Linked DNA regions of Lonchura striata. The protein of the gene in region 1 interacts with the protein of each later gene in a pairwise test. Links are inferred from orthologs where the notes say so. Each region holds a gene or a part of one and is shown in the gene's direction. Other genes may lie near its edges.

Region 1 (10,874 bases):
AATGGATTGCCTACAATTAGTGACACAAAAAGTAAAAATTCTTCAAAGCCGGTTTACCTGGACAGTGTCTGTTTTATTAGTTTTAATTGGAATTGCATTGGGTACTGAGAAGGAAGAGGCATGATTTTTAGAGTAACACAGCCAAGAAGCTGACATGTCTCGTGCCTTCCTCTTCCATTAGAGACATGCTATGCCTCCAGATGCTGCAGTCTGGATTTAGGGGCATATACCGCTCTTGCACAAGTAAGAGTTGCATATGTTATGAGTTAATTTCGTTTTGTTGTGTTCTTTTGCACATGGCTTTTTTTGAAACAGTGAAACGGAAAATATTTTTAGTTTGCCATCTTGTATTGAAATATACTTGGGTTATTAAATAAAATCTAAATCCCTAAGTGATACGTTCTACAGCTCAAATGTACAAATGCTTAAAGTTCATGGACAAAGTACCTATGAGGGAATTACACAAATCCAGACTGTCCCCATGTGCTGTACATTGCATGTGTCTCAGTCAGTAAAAAGTGTGCCAAATAATACACCTCTTTTTGCAGTTGACCTTCACTAAGCCCACAGTGTTAGACATTTTTCATTTGAAAAAAAAAAAAAAAGGATACAAGTAAATGGATTTCATGCTTTTATTATGGGCATCTAATTTAAATGAAATGTATGAAAACGAATCAAAGAGAGGAAGGTGGCTACTTAAAGTGATTCAGTGCACTAGAGTACACTATGTAAACTTAGTTGATATGAAAGTGCCTCAGTCTCTTACTGGAATACTTTATTGAACCCAACCTGAGATCTATCACATTGTATCAAAGGATATGCAAGCAGGATGCTTAATAAAGCATGACAAGCATAAATATCTTGGAAAGGTTTATTTCAACATGTAGTATCATATATTCACAGCTCATCAGTAGAGGTGCATACTGTTTTGGGGAAATAAAATAAAAAATTAGTTTATGCAAACACAGCTTTGGAAAGTGTAATTCTCAAGGTATGTCACTTGGATGTTTCTTCATTGCGTTTAAGAACTTACTGATGTTTTCTAGTGTCACCGGTGCCTTACCAATAGTTTTCTGAATCTTTGAAACTTTATCTGCAAGTTAAGCACTTCTTGGCATATATTTTTAGGGAAGTCTAGCTTGTTCTTTTTTTTTATTCTTCTCATTCTTTCACAAGACAAAATATCTACATCTAAAAACACCCTTAGTTTAGTCTAAAATAATTGCAAACAAAATTGATTTTGTATTTAATTTCTTCTATCAAGTATCTGTTGTTAGCATTATCTGATATTAGATTTTGGGGTGCATTATGCTGCTATGCATTAGCAATTTTTAGGTCTTTGTTTCTTACACCTATTATTAATTACTGTTGCAATCCTGAAAATGGTTCTAGTCAAGCAAATCACATGAAGACAAATAGGACTCTGTAAAAACACAAGATTACTCCCATGTGAAACTGGCAGAATGAATAGACCCTGAGCTCTGCGGGGCAGTGAATATCTTTCTATTCTGAATACTAGCTAGTTAGGGGTTTCTGCTCCAAGTCTAGAGCTCATCACACTATAAATCATAGCAAACACACCTGCAGAGTAAATAACATAATCCCAGCAGCTATTAAAACCTAGAGATTTTGTAATTATTTATTCTTGCAGCATAAATACATGCCCATGCGTCTTTTTCTCCCTTCAGAGCAAAGAAAATCAGGAACTACTACAAGCACACACTGTAGTAGTATTGTACTCACTAATGTGTAAAAGGGATGACAAAAATTGGTGACTTATCACTCTCCCAATGATGGAGGCAGAATTATGAAATATGCCCCCTGCTGCTGGTCCTGCAAGGGCTTGGAAATGTCAGCCAGGAGACAATAAATATTTCAGATATTTGGTATGTTTTTGTCTCTATTTCGGTTTTGTTACTGTAAGCCTACTGCGTATTTACCCGGTTAATCGATGTAAGTCACAGCTTAAGTCTGTGATACGCAAAGTTTTCAATCATATGTATTTTTTATTCTGGGTGACTCAGACTTGAAGTATAATCAACACAATATTAATTTTACAGCATAGATAGAAGCAAGCATTGTTAAAAATAAAGAATTATAAAAATGCCCTTCACCTTTTTTCCATGCACAATAGTGTCTGTATTTTCAACTCCAGTGAAATGTCTTTTAAATACACATACAGATCAAAATCCACAATCTGAATTGTATCAAACAATAAAATGCTTAAAGTGTAAAACACAAGCCTTTTTTTCTCCCTCTCTTATTTTATGAGGAAAATGGACAGAGCATAGCGTGTAATTGTCAAGATCTGGGGACGACAAAATGGAAAACATCTTCTTCAGGTATTATTGACTTGCCTGCATATGCATTTTGAGTACACTTCTAAATACAAATTTAGATATGTATTATTAAAGTGCCCGACAAAGCTAGTCATAGCTGTTTTCTAGTTCAACTATTCTTAAGTGGAGATAATACTAGAGAGAATTAAAAAAATGTTTAATTACAATGCAACAAGCAGAATGGGAAAAAAATGTATTGTGCAAAACTGTTCAATTTTCAAATAAATTATTTATTTAAAACAAACACACTCCAAAGTTTTGAATATGACTTCTGGGACTTTTGGGTATCTAATGTGAAATGCAAGTTTCCCATAGTATGTGAAATGCATAGCTTCCCAAATTCTAAAAGCATTCCTGAAACAGCATAGTTCAGGTGTGAAGCCTCAAGTGCATTCAGAATTTTAATATTTCATCAGTTTATTTAAATTAAATAGGAAGCATAAGATATTTTACTGGTTACAGTGGGCTGGCAATTCAAATAACTTTTAATGATGTAATGCAAACTTGTAAATCATTTTCAGCGAGGGCCTCATGGCTCAGCACAACTTTTCTGTAGTATACTAAATTGCTGGCATAACTTTAAAATTTGTAATGCTTGGAGATCATGAAAATAAGAACAGAAGCCATATGTATGTGGGAGAAGTAGCTGGAAATATTAATTCAGGCTTAAAAGTTTTTACAGATCTGTATTTGTCTTTAAAGCAAAAATTGTGTCTGATAAGTGTTAAACCATGGCACATGTAAGCGCTATAGAGAGTGAAATGGAAATATACCACAGAAATGCAATCTTAAAATTGTGGTAGTGCAATTTATCAGAAAAAAATGTTTCTATGATGAAGTATTGTAAAGATACTGGTGCAGCATAGGTTTAGAATAGTAAATGTGATTATTTTCAATTTTAATTAGTCAGAGATTCAGTATTTTTGACTAGTCAGTGAACAATTATTCATTTTCTTTGCTAGGATTTTCAGTTAAGGCATTCAAGCATCCCTGAAATAATGCATAATCCCCAGGCTTTATTACTGCTTATATCTGTGGGTTTATATTGCCATACAGGTACCAAGAGAAACGAATTATATTGCTTCAGAGGGAGTTAAACTGGCAAAAATTCGGAAAAAAAAGAAAAGACTGAAAATAAATATACATCTGTTGTGAATCTGGATTGACTCTAAGGTTGAATGATGCCTGCATTGACCAAATTGCCATGAAAAAATACGAACTGATCATAATTACAGTAGAATAGAACTCTGTCCTCTTATTTGGTAGGCTCTTGGGTACAATAAAAACTTTGGCTAAAAGAAACTGAATTCATATTTGTAAGCTTTCCCTTTGACAGTAATGAAAATATTCTTAAATTGTGTAAATTGCCATCCTTTTGCTGACTTCAGCAAAGTTATGACAACTTATATAATTCAAATGGTCCCCAAATATGACTTATCTATCTGATTTTACTGTAATACGCATATTGCAAATATGCAAACCACACACTAGAAAGAACTGACAAGAATCCTACTTACATTCTGATAAATATTCAGGAAGGTGGTTCTTTCAGCCTCCAACGTAAAAAATCAGAAAGACTACAAAAGTCCTGAAAAGGAGGAATTGTACACTGGTTCATTCAGGTCAATTTTACATGATCTCCTTCCCCATGAATGGTAAGTTAAAAAACCAAAAGCGACCCACCAGCAAAACCAAGAAACACAAAGTGAATGCAAATAGTAGCCCATACATGAAAATATAAAGGATGTTCCAAACTGTGTTGGCTCCAGATGTTTTTATGAGTTAAACAGTTTACTGTTTTCACATATTTAAAACATTCTATTTTTTTCACTTGATGTTTATAAGCTTTGGGCAAACTTGCTGGCATTGATTTAAGTTATGCTTTTGTACCACATGTAGGTTAAACACACATTCTGAAAAGGTACAATGCAAACAAGAATTCAATCATTAATATTGAGAGGCAGCAACTGCTTACAATTTTTTCCAGTAATTATTCTGCTATTACTGAGAAGCTTTACACTGAAGTTATAACTAAAAAGTTATAATTTTTTTACAAAGGATGCTATCATATAGCCATAGGTATTTGGTAACTGCACAGAAACTTTTGGAATAATTTCAGAAAGTGTTTGAAGCTGTTTGTTTGCCTTCACATTAATTGCCTATTTTTGCATTCTCCTTATATAGTTTGAAATGAAAGCATAAAGCTCTGCAGTGAAATGCATATCCAGTTCATGTGTGCTTAACACTGGTTTTTAAAGAAGTAATAAGAACACTTGATATAGGACCTATGAACTTATTTGGAAACTCAGAAGCCCAGGGAAGCACATTCCTGAATAGACAGATTTGGATATGAAGCTATTGACAAACACGGAGCTGTGCCATTATAGCTTTGCTATTGCATTCTTTCTTTTCTTCTCTTCACCTTTTGGAATCTCTTCTGCCTCTCCCTAAAATGTCTTATTTGGCTTGTTTCTTACTTCTCTTGGAAACCTTATCTTTCTCCCTCTTTCTCGAACCCTCTCACTTTCTTCATTGTGCTTCACTTCACTCCTTTCTTTTTTTTTTTTTTTTTTTTTTTTTCCTTTCTTTTGGTCATGTGCGAGAAATCCTGCATGGCCATTCCCTAGAACGAAGGCATTTTTACACCGCCTTGGCTTCGGGACTTCCCCGACCTCTTCACAGCTGTGGCTGTGTGAGGGATGCGGCAGCAGCGGCCCTGGAAGGAGGGGTGCTGGCATTCCAGCCCCTCCGGCCCCGGCCCCCACGACGGCGACTCGCCCCCGTAGCTGTGGCGGACAGCAGCAGGTTGGAGAGCGGCGGAGGGCAGCGGTGCGGTGCGGAGCGGTGCGGTGCGGTGCGGTGCGGAGCGGAGCGGTGCGGTGCCCGGGGCCGCTCCCCCGCTCCCACCTGGGGCCGCCGCCCGCCCCCGCAGCCCTCGGGCCGCCGCCGCCGGGGCCGCGGCGGGCGCGACGCTCCGCGCCTGTCGCTGTCTCGCAGTTATTGCTCCTGTTTGTGAGGGACAGCAGCACCCCTGTGCTGCCAGCCCGGCGTGTTCCCAAACTCAAGAGGGGCTCAGCCATCGAGATTTCTTTGTATTCCTCTCTTCTAATATTAGAACACATATTGAAACGATAAACACAATGAAAAGCACAAAATATTTCATCAGTGTTGTAACTGTATATTTCCTTTATTCTGAAGAAATATCAAGTTTTGAACGGTGCACAGAGGCAGCAACTTCTGCTTTGGACGCCGCTCTCTTTGTAAAGACCGCGATGTTACAGTTAAATCTAAAGACAGTTATTAAAAAGAGTTAGATGTCAGAAAAGGGGGGAAATCTTACCGTCGAAAGACTGCTGCAGGTTCCAGCTCAGTCTGAAACTGCAGTGAAAAGCGGAGCAGCTGCTGAACAAAAGTTTTAGATTTTTTTTTTTTAAGAAAGTCTGCAAAACTAATTTCCCACAAAATAGGACTCAATTTCCGTTTAAGAAACTAGCTCTTACAAAAGTCATACAATTGCTGATTTTTTCCACTAGCAATTGAAATTCATTTTATCTTTAGCACATGGACCCAAGAATTTAGACTTGAGAGAAATGGTTTCCCTTTTCTACTTTTTTTTTTTTTAATATAGTTTTGTTTTGGGGGGAAGGAGGAGCAAGGTACATCGAGTAGGAAGAGCTGGAGAATAAAACCGCTGAGCAGTGGGCACCTCTTTGGTCATTGATCACTAATGCGTTATCCTGATTTAAACCAGTTAAGAGACGCCTTGGTGGCTACTGTAATTCCACTACGCGCATGTTAAAAAATGATTTTAAAAAAGGAAAAAAAAAATAAAAAGACAGGCCCAAACTTTCCAAGTTATTCCCCAATTCACTAAAGACATTTGCAACGAAGCAAATGAAGATAAAGCAAATAGACGTTATGTGACTTCTTGTTTTGAAGGGGCAGAGGGCAAGAGGGGAAACTTCTCTGTGCAGCCAGCCTTGCTGGCACGGTGGGCGCCGGTAGGTTCGTTGCAGAACCAGCCGCCGATGCCGGGGCACAGCGTGAGGCTGTGGAGGGCAGCCGGGGCAGCGCCGCGGCCCGTGGCGAGTGCCGGGGCGGTGGGCGCGGGCGAGGAGAAGATGGCCCGCGCCGGCACCTTCCGAGCGGGGGAGCGCAGCCGGCGGCCCCGCACGCCGGCGCCCTCGCACCTGGGCTCGCAGGTGAGGCGCTGGCGAGAGCACTTCAGCTCCCGGGGAAACGGGGAAACGGGGGTGGCCCCCGCGTCCCCCGCCCCAGAGTCACCCCCGCACGTCGCCTCACGTCTTTACTGCGCTCCCTCGCCCGCCGCTCGCGGGGGCGGCGGGACCCCGAGCGGCCCGTCGGCCCCGACGGGGCGGTGATGGCCTGCGGGGCCGTGCGGCCGCGGCGAGGGGGGCTCGGGCAGCCGCGCGGGGAGGCGCGGCCCGCGGGGGCAGGGACGAGCGGGCTGCGCCCCCGCGGAGCCGCCCCCCCGCCAGGCCCCGGGCGCCCGGGGCGCGGGCGCGCAGCGCTGCCGCCCGCTGACGGAGCGGCTCGGCGCGGGGACGGCGCTGGCGTTTTGGAGGGAGTTTGCATGTGGTCAGTGCTGTGCTGCTGAGCCAGCCCCCAGCTCACATTACACACTACTGTATTTATAACCTCTCGAAGCTGTTTCCCCCTTCAAGCAGTTCTCTGGGACCACCTTCTATTGGCTTCAACCTCTCCCACTTCTTGACATCTGAGCAGCTCTGAGAACGGCTCATCTAGGTCCGAGTGTTTATGCAGCGGAGACTGGCCACTAGGGCTAAAGATCTGGATTATTTGAGCTCAGCTGCCTGCTGCAGAGCCTGTCGGTGCCGTTTTGGAAAAAAAAATCCCAGCCCCGATCTGTTTACAGTGAAAGTTGACAAAGGGTGGTGAAGTTGGATCTTTCCTAAACTCTCCTGCCTGGAACCTGAGACTTGCATGCCATGGATCACACACTCTTTGGCTGCCTGCGCAGCCCCCATGCCACTGCGCAGAGCTTGCACCCTTTCTCCCAGTCTTCTCTTGCACTGCATGGAAGATCTGACCACATGTCCTACCCTGATCTGTCTTCTTCTTCTTCCTCTTGCATAATAGCGGGATACCCCAATGAGGAGGGCATGTTTGCCAGCCAACATCATAGGGGGCACCATCACCATCACCATCACCACCATCACCACCACCAGCAACAGCAGCACCAAGCTTTGCAGACGAACTGGCACATTCCTCAGATGTCGTCTCCTCCCGCCGCGGCCAGGCACAGCCTCTGCCTTCAGCCTGACTCAGGAGGACCCCCGGAGCTGGGCAGCAGCCCCCCTGTCCTGTGTTCGAACTCTTCCAGCCTGGGCACCAACACCCCCACGGGGGCAGCGTGTGCGCCAGGGGACTATGGCAGGCAGGCTCTGTCCCCGGTGGAAACAGAGAAGAGGTCCGGCAAAAGGAAAAGCGACAGCTCAGGTAAAAACTCGCGCGTTCCCCAGCCGGGGCGGGATCCCCGGGTGGCGGGGAAGTGGCGCGGTCGGGCCCCGCGGACCTGCCGCCACTCGGCTCGGCTCGGCTCGGCTCGGCTCGGCTCGGCTCGGCTCGCCCGGCCACGGCCGCCGCCGTGCTCTCGCCGCCGGCTGACACCCGGCTGCAGGGTTGCTCCTTCCCTCCAACGCGCTCTGGGGATCTCCATCACTAACGCAAACTTTATTAAAGCTTCGGGGGGAGAAATAGAAAGAAAAAATTCAGCACGTGATAGAGTATGAAATCAAGGTGGTGGTGGGGCGGCGGGGGGAGAATTTCCTACAGCCAGAGAGAAACGTTTGTAGTTTTGGTGCGGTTTTCAGCATCTGGTCCCGCGGCCCCCTCCCCCCTGCCCGATACGACACCTCTGCTTCAAAATTCAGAATCCAGCGCGCTCCTTCCCCTCCGCCCCTTCGCGGAGCTGACTGCGGCTCCGAGGCGATTGCACAACGCTTGGAAGCTCTGCCTTGGAAGCGGGGATTCGGGAGAGGAGCTGATGCCTTGCTACCCTGTAGGATCTGAGGATCCCTGTAGGATCTGAGTGATCTCTGAAATCCTCAGCGTGAAGGGGCAAAATTTGGACTCTGTGAAGCAAACGGGTGATTGGGAGTTTCAGAAAGCTGCTTCACTTCAGTTTTCTGGTGGCGGGGACAGAGGAAATGAAGGAGCAGTCTGCCTTCTAAAATCACAGTAATTTTTACATAAAAACATGTAGACCCACAGTCATTCCAGACTGATGATTTGGCATCAATGAATGGGCAAAAAACCTTGACATTATCTCTGCTTTCTAAAATAGCAAAGCCTTTCAAAGTCCTGATCTGACAAAAGGCACTCAGCGAAGGCAACGCAACTGATGGGACTTCCATTAGGGCACACATGAACCGAGGGGTCACCAAAAATATAGTGAGACAGGCAGGAGGCACTTGAAAGAGAGAGGGCTCAACAGATTGAAAACTCAAGAGCTGGCGTAGCAAATTATTTGTTATCACAGAAGAGAAAGTGAAAGGCTTTTCCAGATATGTATGAAGTTCACAACTGAAACCATAACCTTTCACTCAAAATGCTGTAAGCTTAGCCAAGCGCAAGCAACAAAAAGGATTTAAAAAAATAACCCTCAAGAATACCATCACTTCCTTCCTTGTCCATTACATTAGCAAATACTAACAGTTACAGTAATTCAGAACGTATTTATCTGCATTTTGTCTTACGTAGCTGGTGTAGCTGCTAAAAACTCATGCATTTAAAGCTGTATTTAGTTCAAACACTGCTGGTAAAATCTTTGTGTTTGTCTTCTTTCAATGAGAAAAAGATTTATCTGATTTTGTGAGGTGTATGAACAGTCCCTGTTACAACTGAGAAAATAACTGGATGCCTGCTGGTGTAAGGATTTATTGTATTTGTTGGTCTATTTAAAGCTAAAGGAAAAAAGGAAATTGGTCCCTTTCACTGTCAGAGAAGTATCCGAATCACTTTCTGTTTATTTCATTCTGCAATGCAAAAAAAAAAACAACAAAAAAAAAACACCAGTGAGGAATGTCCTAAACCTTACCCTGAAGTGACTGGAGCCTTCCACTGGATTAGCGGACAAGAGTTCAAGCCTTTAGCCATGGTTATGCTTATCTTGCAATGCACTTCGAGCCTCACTTTCTAAGTCTTTCTGAAGATCAAGGCAGGTAACTATTTCCTTCTCCCTTCCGCTAAGAAAAAAATACGACCGTTCACACAATTGTGAATCTCTCAAACTGAAAATAGATGTCTTTTGACAACAGCTGCATAGTTGCTATATGTTTGGTTTTTCTTCAGGAAAAGCCTGAGTTTTGGACTGAATATTTAACCCCACCCCTTTATTAGTCCTGAACTCTGGTGCTAGATATTTAGTGCTATTCTCATATATGGCAGCAAGAATTATTTTAATTTGCTGTGTTTCTATATTTGTCATCCATAATTGCCCCTCATTTGATTAAACATCATCACCTTTATTTCTCATTAATCTTTTTTTTTAAGACAAATGACTGTGCTTGAAAGAATTTCTTCCATGCCTTCATCAGACTTGGAACTTCTTCAATAGACATTTGTAAAAAATCCTAATAGTAAATAACTAAAAGGTGAAGAGAGAAAGAGACTGCTTTAAGTTTCAGTGCCAGCATTCTGAGACAATTATTAATGCTCTTGCTTATTTACACATACATTTCCTCTTAAGCACATCACTTAAAGCCACAGAATGCTTAGCGTTTTCTTGAGCACTGAATCTGTTCCGCATTTCAGAGCTGAATTAACCTTAGGCTACCCCTTTCTTCCACTACTTAGCTTTTGTTTCTGGGTATTTAAGATCACAAAGCTGAGTTTGTAGATAGTTTAAATAATGTAAAACATGATCATTCCTTGTATCATTTACCTTACAAACAAGTGACTGTTTCTTAGCCGAATAGCTACTCTGAAAATTTACTAGAAGGGACACCCCATTTTACTTATTTGTTATGATGTTGGGAGTGCAACATTTTAAAATTATAAACAGAAATCCAGAGAGCAAACAGAATTTAGAATGATAGGCTGTGTGTTTTTCCCTGGAATTCACATATTGCAAGGGAATGGGAGGATATAGAAATATTCTTTTCTAATCTTTTGCAGTTTCATTTGGGATTGAGAAAACAAGGTGAAATGTGCTCTCATGATAGTTATATAAACTGACTTACAGTTTTCTTTAGCCCTAACCCAGATTTTAAGCAGTTTGGGAAGTTCCCTTTGAAGATATTGAAAAGGCTGCTACAGAACAGGGTGAAATTTTCAGCTGTTCTCGTTGCAAAGGACTGGGAAATACTGTTTATGTAGTCATCAACCCTGCTTGCTGCAGCTGTCAGTGTCTCCAGGTTTTGTAGTTGCTCTCTCATAATCTGCAGAACATTCCTTTCAACCTGCGTAGGCCCAGAAGTGGGTTGGTAAAGTTGCCTGTGAATTATGAAGAGGTGCACATAAATCTTTATATGTTAACATTTTGCTGTGAAT
Region 2 (10,338 bases), on another chromosome or scaffold:
CCATGCCCAGCAGGACGTGCCATGCCAGTGAAGCAGAGCTGGGATGGATTCCCTCTGCACCTTCTGAAGGTGTTTGTGAGGGGAGCTGAGGCTGTACCCAGCAGGATAAATCAGAGCTGGGATGGATTCCCTCTGTACCCTCTGGAGGTGTTTGTGAGGGGAGCTGAGGCCGTGCCCTGCAGGACGTGCCATGCCAGTGAAGCAGAGCTGGGATGGATTCCCTCTGCACCTTCTGAAGGTGTTTGTGAGGGGAGCTGAGGCTGTACCCAGCAGGACGTGCCATGCCAGTGAAGCAAAGCTCGGCGCTTCCCGTGCAGCTGCGAGTGCCCCGAGCAGCCCCGACCCAGGGGAGCAGCCAGGGCCCCCCAGCTCCCTGCACACCACAAACACCCCCAGGGCCCCGGTGCCTCACATCTCACTGTGACACACAGGGGAACATTCACATTTCCTGGGAGATCACTCACCTGCCCCAGCCTCAGCACCGCCCTTTCTCTCTCTGCCGAGACCCATACGGTTCATAAAGGAAACAACGAAGGAATCATTTTTGCAATGGAGAATTTTAGTTCTTCTTCATATTATCTCTGTCCTGTGCCCCAGATGGGCCATGGGGATCTGGGGAAGGCTACTCAGAGGTGTAAATCAGAAGCAGAGAGGTTTTGGAGTGCAGGAATGGCCTGTCCATGGCTCTCCAGGGAGGTCAGCTCCAGTCCAGGAGCGCCTACACAAATAACTGCCAGGAATTGGGAGAGTGTTTTAGAAGGATCACTCTGGACGTGCTGCTGCCTTGTATTTTTCCCTTAGGCAAGAGGTGCTGCCGTGGTAACAGAAAGGATTCTGGCTTGACTAGAAGTGGTTGTGTGATTTTTGCACCACTGAGTCTCTTGGAACATGCAGGTGAATTGGCTTGTGTGTATGAAGCATCAGGAATTTCCAACAAAACAACTTTTCATTGTGCGTGCGTGTTTTCTCATCTGCAGAGGAGAATAGCTGTGGTACCCTGTAAGGATTTGACTGAGCTGTGTATTTCACAGAGCTGACATTACTGCTGAACACATTAACTTACAAAGGCCTCGCTTTTTCATGACTCACGCCAGAAGTTATTTTCCTGTGGGTTTGTTCTGAGTGATTAAGAGAGGTTTGCTTGCATATAAATGCTGTTCTACACATATAGATATATATATATGTTACCTTCACCAGGGAAAGCTCCCACACTTTCCCTTGTTTATGCACATTATACATGACATAGGTTCCGAGTTAAATGCCACAGCCCTTATTTACAAGGTAAGCAAAGAAGATAACCCAATTTAAAATTCCTCATTTTCAGTGCTGCCCATCTCACCCTTCATGGAGAACACTGGACAAGAAGAGTCGAGGCCACCATCCTGTCTGCTATGAGCTTCCCAGCTTGTCCACCTGGGAATTGTAAAATTCCACGTACAGGTAGGAAATACATTTAATATTTCAGCCAGTGAGGTAGAAACGGGGGCAGCACCTCAGAAGCTGCTTCTCAACCACTCCCTGATTTTCAACCCAGCCACAGTGGCACGCTGGGAGCTGTTGGAGCAGGCACCAGGATCCCTCAGAGCCCAAGCCCAGGCAGGGAACAGCGTGCTCTGGCCACGCTGCCTCCATCCTGCCTGTTCCAGCTCGCCCTGAACACCTTCCTGCTCGCCCCAAAAATCCCTTCTCACTACTCAAAGGATATAGAGGGAACATGGAGCAAAGCACAGAACAATTCTTCAGTCTCTGAAGCTGTTAAAAATATTTTTGATAAAGGTACATATATGCACAGCTGAGCTCCAGTGAACACCTTCTTGTTTCTCATGCTAATTTTATATTGTTCCTAAAGCAGAGCTGATTTTTATCTTTGTGAAAGGAGAATTTTAATCCTGGTCCTATTCATTAATCATATCAAAACCCAAGGTATGCAGATATTATTTTTCAATATTTTTAAGGTTCTAGTCTAAAAGGTTAAGAAATGCAAAATAGCTGTAAAGGGTTTGGGTTTTTTTCTTGAAGTGTTTGGTTTCCTCCCATTATTGCAGACTACATATATCTTTATTTCTCAGTGAGAGCAAACTGTGGCCCTGAACCTCTAGAATTCCAAACACAGGCAAAGATAATGACTGTTTAAAAGTAAAGAACAAATTGTTCCACAAAAAATGAGCACAATCACAAAAAGAAGCATAAACTTCTCCTGCTTAGTGGTGGCTTCCAAGACGTCAGACATTTTGTAAACCAGCAGTCGGATCCAGACCACGCAGAATTGGGACGGTCCTGCTTTTCCTGTTAATTTTTCCACTATGAGAGTGTCCAAAACTCTCTGAAATAAAGGATTACTGTCTAGGGGTTCAGAAAGTCATATTTTCATAGAACAGTTCATTCTGACAGGTAACCCCAGCAAGCACACAAGCTGTTCCATTAAATGTCATGGCCTTAAGTTTAAAAATGTATCCCACATCCCAAGCCCAACTGTTTGTTTGTTCTCAGGAGTGTTTTCAGTGCTGCTGTGGCCCAGAGTTTAGATCAGTGGTTGAGCTGCCTACACCTCATTTAGAGGTTGTAAGCAAGAGAGACACAGTTTGGTTTAGTGTTTAGCAAATTATCTTCACCCTTTTGCCACTAAATCACTCTACAAGCACGAGCAAACCACTCAGCTCTTCCTCTCCTTCCCCTTATTCAAATGTACCCAGACCATGACTTGTGATATGACTGTGAGGAGTGAAGATCAGACCTTGAACATGGACAGAAAATTCTAGAAGCTCTGCTGAACCGAGGTCACAGCATGAATTCTGAGTGTAGTGATGAGATTTGAGTATTATCATATCTTTCTGGATGAAGAAAGCATGGAATAGTGCCTGTGGTTTTCTATCCAAAAGAGCCAGAAAGAAATGTTGGTCCTCAGAAGAGAAATCTGCTCTGAGATCACCCTGATGTAATATGGACTTACCAGGTCTGAGGCAGGTCCTTCGGCCTCTGGGCTTGCAAAATGTGCTGGGCCAAGAATTGAGAAAATAGAGAAAGATTATTTAACTTCACCCCATTTCAAAATGTAGTAAGAATGTATTTCTGCATTTAAAAAATGTATTTAACTTCCCCATCTGTGTTTCACTTGGTCCACATATTCAAGCCATTTTCTAAAGTTGTGAACAACTTTTAAATAAAAATTCAGACCTTTAAATAATCACAGACTATCAGAAACTTGGCCTTTTCAGAAAAACACAAACATACAGAAAGTCAACAGTGCTAGCAAGTTAGTAATTGAGGCATCCTGCTTTTAGTGTAAATAGTATCCGTAATTTTTTTGCAGTGCTTTAGAGGTATTCAGGAGATATTTCCTCAAATGATGTTGGGATAATCTGCAGGGGTTCCACATCTTTGTACTTCAACCAAAGCAGCCAAAAACTGGGTCAGGGCAACAGTCCAAAATTTTAGTGGTGAGCCTCCAAAATTCAAGACACTCAGGGAATGCATGTTGGGGAATAATATGAGAATGCTGAAGGGAAAAAAAAAAAAAAGATAAGGGCATATTTAATTTGTAGCCAATATTAATATTTCAAAAATTGGTACTGTCAATTTGGAATAAAGCCTGTGTTTGAAGTGCCTGTGAAAGGCAAGGCAGTTGCCTCAGATGCTGTGTGATGCCATCGGTTCCTGAGTTGCCACGAGGCAATCTGGATGGCTGGCTGCTCCGAATCCACAGGCACAGGGGTTTGGGATGCCAGCTTTCGAGGAGTCTCCCCACTGGGTTACTCTGGATCCTGGAATATGAGAACGTGGGTTGGCAAGACCCTGCGTGTCTGGGAGCAGCCGAGCAGCCCCACGGGCTTCCCAAATTCGGGCTCACCACCGTCCCTTCTGATAGGATGGAGAGAACTGGGAAGCATAGCTCAGCTTGAAAATTCCGAATTCGGGAGCCAAGTCCCACAAAACTTTCACCCTGTTGCTCCTGGGCAGCTGTTGCAGGGAGATGAGATGCAGCTGGAGTTGAGAAAAGGAACCAGCCTGGTTGGAGGCACCTGGTGACTCTGCAGGTGCCTCTGAGGCTCCTCACTCAGCACCATTTTGGGGTGGTTTAACAGAGAACTGCTGCTTTGAGGAGCTAAAGTTTATAATTATATGTTTTTTTAGAACTTGGGCTTCTTGAGACCGGGGAGTGTGACAACCCAGTCTGCTCAGTGATGGAAAGTTCGAAACTGGAAATGTACCTGGATGCCACCCTGAGTCAGCCCAAACCGAAGCATCTCTACAAAACACCTAGATGTGAACAAATTGCCATCCTCTGACAAAAATATTCCGTCTGAGAATTTCTGACCAGCTCCAGCGGTAAACACCTCCAGGGTGTCCTTTTTGTCTGATACAGGGCAAAAATTATCCGGGTACCTGTTGCTCGGGGTGGAAAGATGAGGGAATGGAATATTAAATTAAAGGAGTTGGAACAAAAAGCAGCTAATTGTCTGAGCACGGCTGGCCGAGCTGTGTTCAGGTATCTGTGTGGGAACAGATTCCACGGATGAAATGCCCGTGGCAGGGGCTGCAGCCACGCTGTGGAGCCTCTTGTCCCCTTCCCCTCCCTGAGCGGGCTTTACACTTGTGGGGCTTTACGCTTGTGGGGCTTTAAGCCTGTGTTTCTTTTCCGGTGGGGTTTGTCCGGGCACCTCTCCCTGCCGTGCTGCCGGGCTTTTCTGGAGCGCGGTCCCCCTCAGGGAGCCGGGGCCTCCGCGGGCGGCGATGGAGGCGCGCAGCCTCCCGCCCTCCTTCCCTCCCAAACACGCCGCCGAGGGAGGGAGGGAAGGAGGGGGTGGAAGCCGGGCCGGGGCGGCCAGCAGGCAATTTGCATGAGAGACAGACTGGGAATGAGCTGGAGTGGGCGCCTCTCCGCGCACACAGAGCGGGGCAGGAGGGGGAGGAGGAGGGAGCTGCCGCCGCCGCCGGGGAGAGGCGGCGAACTCCGGGCAAAGTTTGGAGCCGCGGGCCCGCGGCGCTGAGGCAGCGGCGGGGCCGGGCCGGGCCGCGGGTGTGAGGCGGCGGAGCCGGCGGCGGGCAGAGCGCGGAGCCGGCGGCGGGCGCTGCCGGCACAGCCAGCATGTCCTCCATCCTGCCCTTCACTCCTCCCATCGTCAAGCGGCTCCTGGGCTGGAAGAAAGGCGAGCAGAACGGGCAGGAGGAGAAATGGTGCGAGAAGGCGGTGAAGAGCCTGGTGAAGAAGCTGAAGAAGACGGGGCAGCTGGACGAGCTGGAGAAGGCGATCACCACGCAGAACATCAACACCAAGTGCATCACCATCCCCAGGTATGGGTGCGGGGGGCGCGGCTCGAGGGGCGTGCGGGACCCGCAGGGACCCCGAGGGACCCCGAGGGACCCGCCGGGACCCCGAGGGACCCGCCGGGACCCCGAGGGACCCGCAGGGACCCGCCGGGACCCCGAGGGACCCGCCGGGACCCCGAGGGACCCCGAGGGACCCGCCGGGACCCCGAGGGACCCCGAGGGACCCGCAGGGACCCCGAGGGACCCCGAGGGACCCTCAGGGACCCCCGGGCCCCGGCACGGCCGGGCAGGGCTCGGCGCGGTGTCCGTCCTCTCTGCCTGCTCCTTACCGAGCTAAGAAAAACCCCGTTCTGCCTGCAGAACTGAATTACTCTGTAGTAACGAGAGAGAAAACGTAGTGGAGAAAATATGCCTCGAGCCGAGATCATAAAAAAGAAAAAAAAAAAAAACAAAGTTGGAAGCGCTGCGGAGCAGTTCCACTCTTATTGTCAGAAGTTTCAGCTTGTTCTCAAGTGCTGTTGCATTTAGATTTTCTTGTGATTAGCGCGTTAGGAAAACGGTTTTGTTTGGGTTGTTTGGCCTCTTCCTTACTCCTCCGAAGGGGTCATTTAGAGCCCTGCTCTGCTGATGTTTTCGAGTTACTTTTTAAATCGGGAATGCAAATGGCAGAGCTGAAGGAGGTCGTTTGGAGTGAAAAAAAAAAAAAAACCAAAAAAAACCCCACACATGTCAGGGTGAATATAACTGATTTTTTTTCTTCCATTTTTTGAATGAACATAGATTTTATTTTCAGTCTCCATTCCGAACTCGATCCACAGGGCCATCATAAATCATAAAAGACGTGTATAAAACTATCCCATCTAAGAACAATTTTCCAAGTAACTTTCAAATGGCTGCCCACAAGTGGTGTTTTATTGCTGCAGATTGTTGAATTCTGTGAGCTCAGCCAGATGACTGCTGGGTCTGTTCCTGATTGTGTTTGAGAGTATTTTTTTTTTTTTAAGCAAAGGCCAAAGTTCATCCCAAATATTTGAATGCTGCATAATTGTGTGCTTCTGCGTGAGAAGATATCTGTGTGTGTGTGTGTATTCATGCTTCTCTCTGGCACAAACAAATGTATGCTTTCTTGCTTGTCAGAATGATTTAATATGCAGGAGCTGATACAAAGCAGCATCTGTTGCATGAAAAAGTGAAGCAAGTAGCTTAGAAATGTGGATGTTTGGAGCTCCTGAAATTTTCTTCCAACAACTGCAGTGTTTTTTTAAAAGGAAAAATAAAGCCTCCTTATCTTTTTTGGTGCTGAATGACTTTGGCCAAGATTTTGGCCGGTAATGCAAATGAGAGCTCTCAGCCTTTGTTAGAGTTGCTCCGGCTTCTACTTGAAGCAGAAATCAAAACCTGTAGAGCCACCACGCAATACAAATGCCTTAAAATCTATATTTTTCAAGTTCTTGGTAAGCAGCGTGCTTTCCACGTAGATAATTCCCTGAAATATTTACCATTTAAAGCACTTCTCTGTAATATTTACCATTTCAAAAGAAGAAAATTTCTGGAGCAGCCCTGCTGCTGTGACCTGGGTATTGTGTCTGGCTGATGCTGACCCGTTAGGGAGCAGAGCATGAAGGCCCGTGGAACTTCTGTGACTCCTAACAGAGTGGTTTAGATAAGGAAGGATTTGATATTTTATGATTTAAAGGAAGAAAAGTGTTGGGCCAAACACAATGCTTTATTAAAAGAAAAAAGGTAAAGTTTGAAAATAAATAACAACGCAAACATATGTCGCAAGTCATGCAGACTCACCTTCAGAGATTGTCCTGACTGTTCCTCATCTGTTAAAGAAAATCTGTGCAGAAATTAAAACATTTTGTGTTAATTTATGACACTGAACCTGGATCCTACAGATCTTAAACCTTGGTATGGGGGAGGCATCAGCCTGTTTTGGTGGGAGCCCCTTATACCTTGGCATTAATTTTTAAACACAACTTCATATCTGCTTTTTTATTGTTTAGAAATGCCCGTGGTTAGGTTTTTCTGTGCTGAGATGTTAACATCTGTGTGTCAGAGGTTGGGGAATGGGGTGGGAGCATGGAACAATCCCTGAAGTCAGTGCAGAGCTGCAGCTCTGACCAGGCCTTGTGACTTTAAGAGCTGTGCCTTTTCCTCTGGGCTGCACTGCTTGTCCTAATGTATCTGTGAATCTGATTACTGTGTCATCTGAAATTAGTGTTTGCAAGACGATTTTAGCGTGGTTTTCGTTTGCTGTTTGTTTTTTTCATTTAATAATTTTTACGTATGTCATTTTACTATTTACTCAAATGATATGCTGGGGAGGGGGGAAAGGGGGGAAAAGCATCATTAAGGATTAGCTCATGTTGTGCATTGTCCGTAATGCATCAGTAGACTGAATTACAGTGGAGCCATGCCAGTGATGACTCTGGCCCAGCAGGAGCAGGGTAAGTCCAAAATTAGCTATTGTATCCATGAGACAGAGCAAGTTTTACATGGAAAAGGGCTCGAGCTTTGCAGAAACATTGCTTGTGGGAATGAGGGCTACACAGCAAATTCCTGGACTGATCAGGTGGGATTGTTTGAAGAAAGGACAGGAAAATATATTTGTTTTGTTGTAGGGCTAAGGAATTAGAATAACAAATGTATTCCTGCTGTCATGTTTATCTGCTGGGATCTGGAAGCACGTACTACATGCTATCTCCTGACAGATTAGTAAACAGGGATTAGTTTATTTGCTCAGCATGTGTTACTTCTCCAAGTGCTCAATTTCTGAGGTGGTGTGACAGATACCCCAGGTGTTCTGTTGGGAGAACCTGTGAAGATAGTAAAAGGCTGGAGAGGCCTTCAAGGATTTCAGCAACTCTTCTGGCAAGAAGGATTTTTCCTTCATGTTTTTACTGCTGGAGGAGGAAGTCATTTCCACCTGAAAAACTCTGGTCTCAAACCAGCTGATGGTTTCTGGTGGTGCTGCTGCTGCACAGGACGGCTCCTTTAGAGGATCTTCCTTCCCTGCTCCTCTGGACACAGCTGCCAAAGCCCATCCTGCCCCAGCAGGACCTTTCTTTAAACCTCTGTGCCCGAGCTGGTGGCCTTTAGTGCCAGAGCTCACCTAGTGAGTCGGGTCTCCCTGGCAGAAAGGGTTTTTCATCCTGTATTGGGTGATAAACGTTGAGAAGACACATTCTTCTGCTCATTAAAATGCACCCTTTGTCACAGTTATCTTGAAAGCCCAGCTTTCAGAATGAGCATTTTTATCACTTTTCAGACCAACCTGGGCACAAGTGTGCCATTAACACCTACCCAGCACAGGCAGGAGGGTGTTTGTGGCCTCTCTGCCTTGCTCTGTGAGCAGGCAATGATCTGCTCCAGCTGCTCGCAGGATTTTTGGTGGCTCTGTTCTCTTCAGAGACCCAAAAATGTGGTCAGAGTGGCGTCTACATCTGACATTCATACAAACCTGCAAAAACCCCTGAATTTCTAATACTGTTCTGAGCAGAAGAGAGGCCGTTTTGTGCACCTGAGAAACCAGCAGCATTTGCCCTGCAAATGAAGTGTGGTGAGTGTTGAACTCAACTTTTTTAGGGTCTGATCTGCAGAAAGCAGACCATGTGACAGGCACTCGGTAATTTCTACAAGCTGTGCAGTGTCTGTAGTCTTGCTTTATGATAGTAAATGCTTTGTTTCAAGAGCTTTAGTGGTGCTACACACACAAAGACATAAATCTCCTGATATTTTGTAATATATTTTCATATGGACATTTTTCTTTTGAACTCATTACTGTATTTATTTGTTTTGGTATCACCAGTGGTTTTAGGGGAACCAGGATTCCTGTATGTAAAGATCACCTTCTTTTAAGTAGTGGGTTTTTTTTTTAATTTAGAAAACAGTTGTGAAGAGAGGTGGGTGTTATTTCTTGTGGAACTCATCTGATAAGGGCAGAATGTACCAGTTAAAATGAAAACATGGCACATTTGCTTCTTAAAAGCCACTGAATATGGTGTTCCTTAAATGATTTACATTTTGGTGGGGAAAACCAGGGATAATACACAAGGAACTTAATACATAATGATAATAAAGAAGGAACATAATTATTTCAGGAACATCTTGGGTGTGAGCACAGCTTCTGTTGTGTTGGGAGTTGACCACACAATATTTACAGAACTTAATCGTGTTCTTAGGTTTGAGGGGATACCAGGAAAAGAGGAAAACGGTGAGGGTATTAAGTGGCAGAGGCTGTTTGCAAGACCCTGAAGGATGTTGTGGTTTCACACTATGGTGTGATTTTGGGGTCACTGGACTTGCTCCTTGTGGGTCTCTTCCAGCTTGGGATATTCTGATTCCAGACTCTTTTTTGGGACTGCTGCCCATCTGACTGCAGTAAGCAGCAAAGGACCAGCCACAGCTTTGTGTGTCCATGTGCAAATTTATGTATTTTTCGATACCAGTTTCAAGCTACTTTGTTTTCAGTTTTCTATCCCTGAGTGTGAGGAGCTTTAATATTTCCTGGCCTTGTCTGGGAGCGCCTGCAGGGGCTTAGCCCTGGTGTGCACCTCAGGCTGCCATCTCCCTGCCCGGCTCCATCCTGCTGGGGATTTTCCTGCTGCAAAGCCGTGGCAGTGACCTCTGTCCTGCCCGAGCCCTGGGCAGGTTTTACAGCCCTGCCCAACCTTTGTGCTGCTGCAGTGCCCTCAGCAGCTGTGGTGGCCTCTGTGGGACTCTCAGGCCAGGTCTGAAGGTGGAGGTAGGGTGAGTCCCCATGAGCCTGAGCCTGACAGACCTCCAGGAGTGTTTGGGCAACTCTCTTGGGCCCAGGGTGTGACATGGCCTTGCTCCTGTGTGGGGCCAGGAGTTGGACTCGGTGACCCTTGTGGGTCCCTTCCAGTTCAGCTTTTTCTGTGTGATTCCATGATTTTCTGCCTGCAGTGCTGCTTCTCCATCAGTGCCTTTCTCAACTCCCTCTCTGGGCACAGGTTTCTGCTCCCTGCAGCCCCTCCAGCTTTTTGTCACCCCCTTGCACTTACTCCTGCCTCTTACATCAGCTTGGGTGATGTGTGTGGAGTT

What was found. The genes of interacting proteins can lie anywhere in the genome.
Region 2: the proteins of MEOX2 (region 1) and SMAD3 interact in binary tests that used the Homo sapiens proteins (3 or more experiments, as listed by UniProt). The two-hybrid records come from large-scale screens. The link is inferred for Lonchura striata from reciprocal best matches to the Homo sapiens genes MEOX2 and SMAD3.

Annotation. Positions count from the first base shown.
Region 1 is NC_134603.1:128,044,881-128,055,754, forward strand, and holds the start of MEOX2 (homeobox protein MOX-2), read left to right. Parts: upstream 1-6,857; 5' UTR 6,858-7,309; coding exon 7,310-7,820; intron 7,821-10,874. UniProt on the Homo sapiens protein: Mesodermal transcription factor that plays a key role in somitogenesis and somitogenesis and limb muscle differentiation. Required during limb development for normal appendicular muscle formation and for the normal regulation of myogenic genes.
Region 2 is NC_134613.1:23,081,853-23,092,190, forward strand, and holds the start of SMAD3 (mothers against decapentaplegic homolog 3), read left to right. Parts: upstream 1-5,007; 5' UTR 5,008-5,086; coding exon 5,087-5,292; intron 5,293-10,338. UniProt on the Homo sapiens protein: Receptor-regulated SMAD (R-SMAD) that is an intracellular signal transducer and transcriptional modulator activated by TGF-beta (transforming growth factor) and activin type 1 receptor kinases.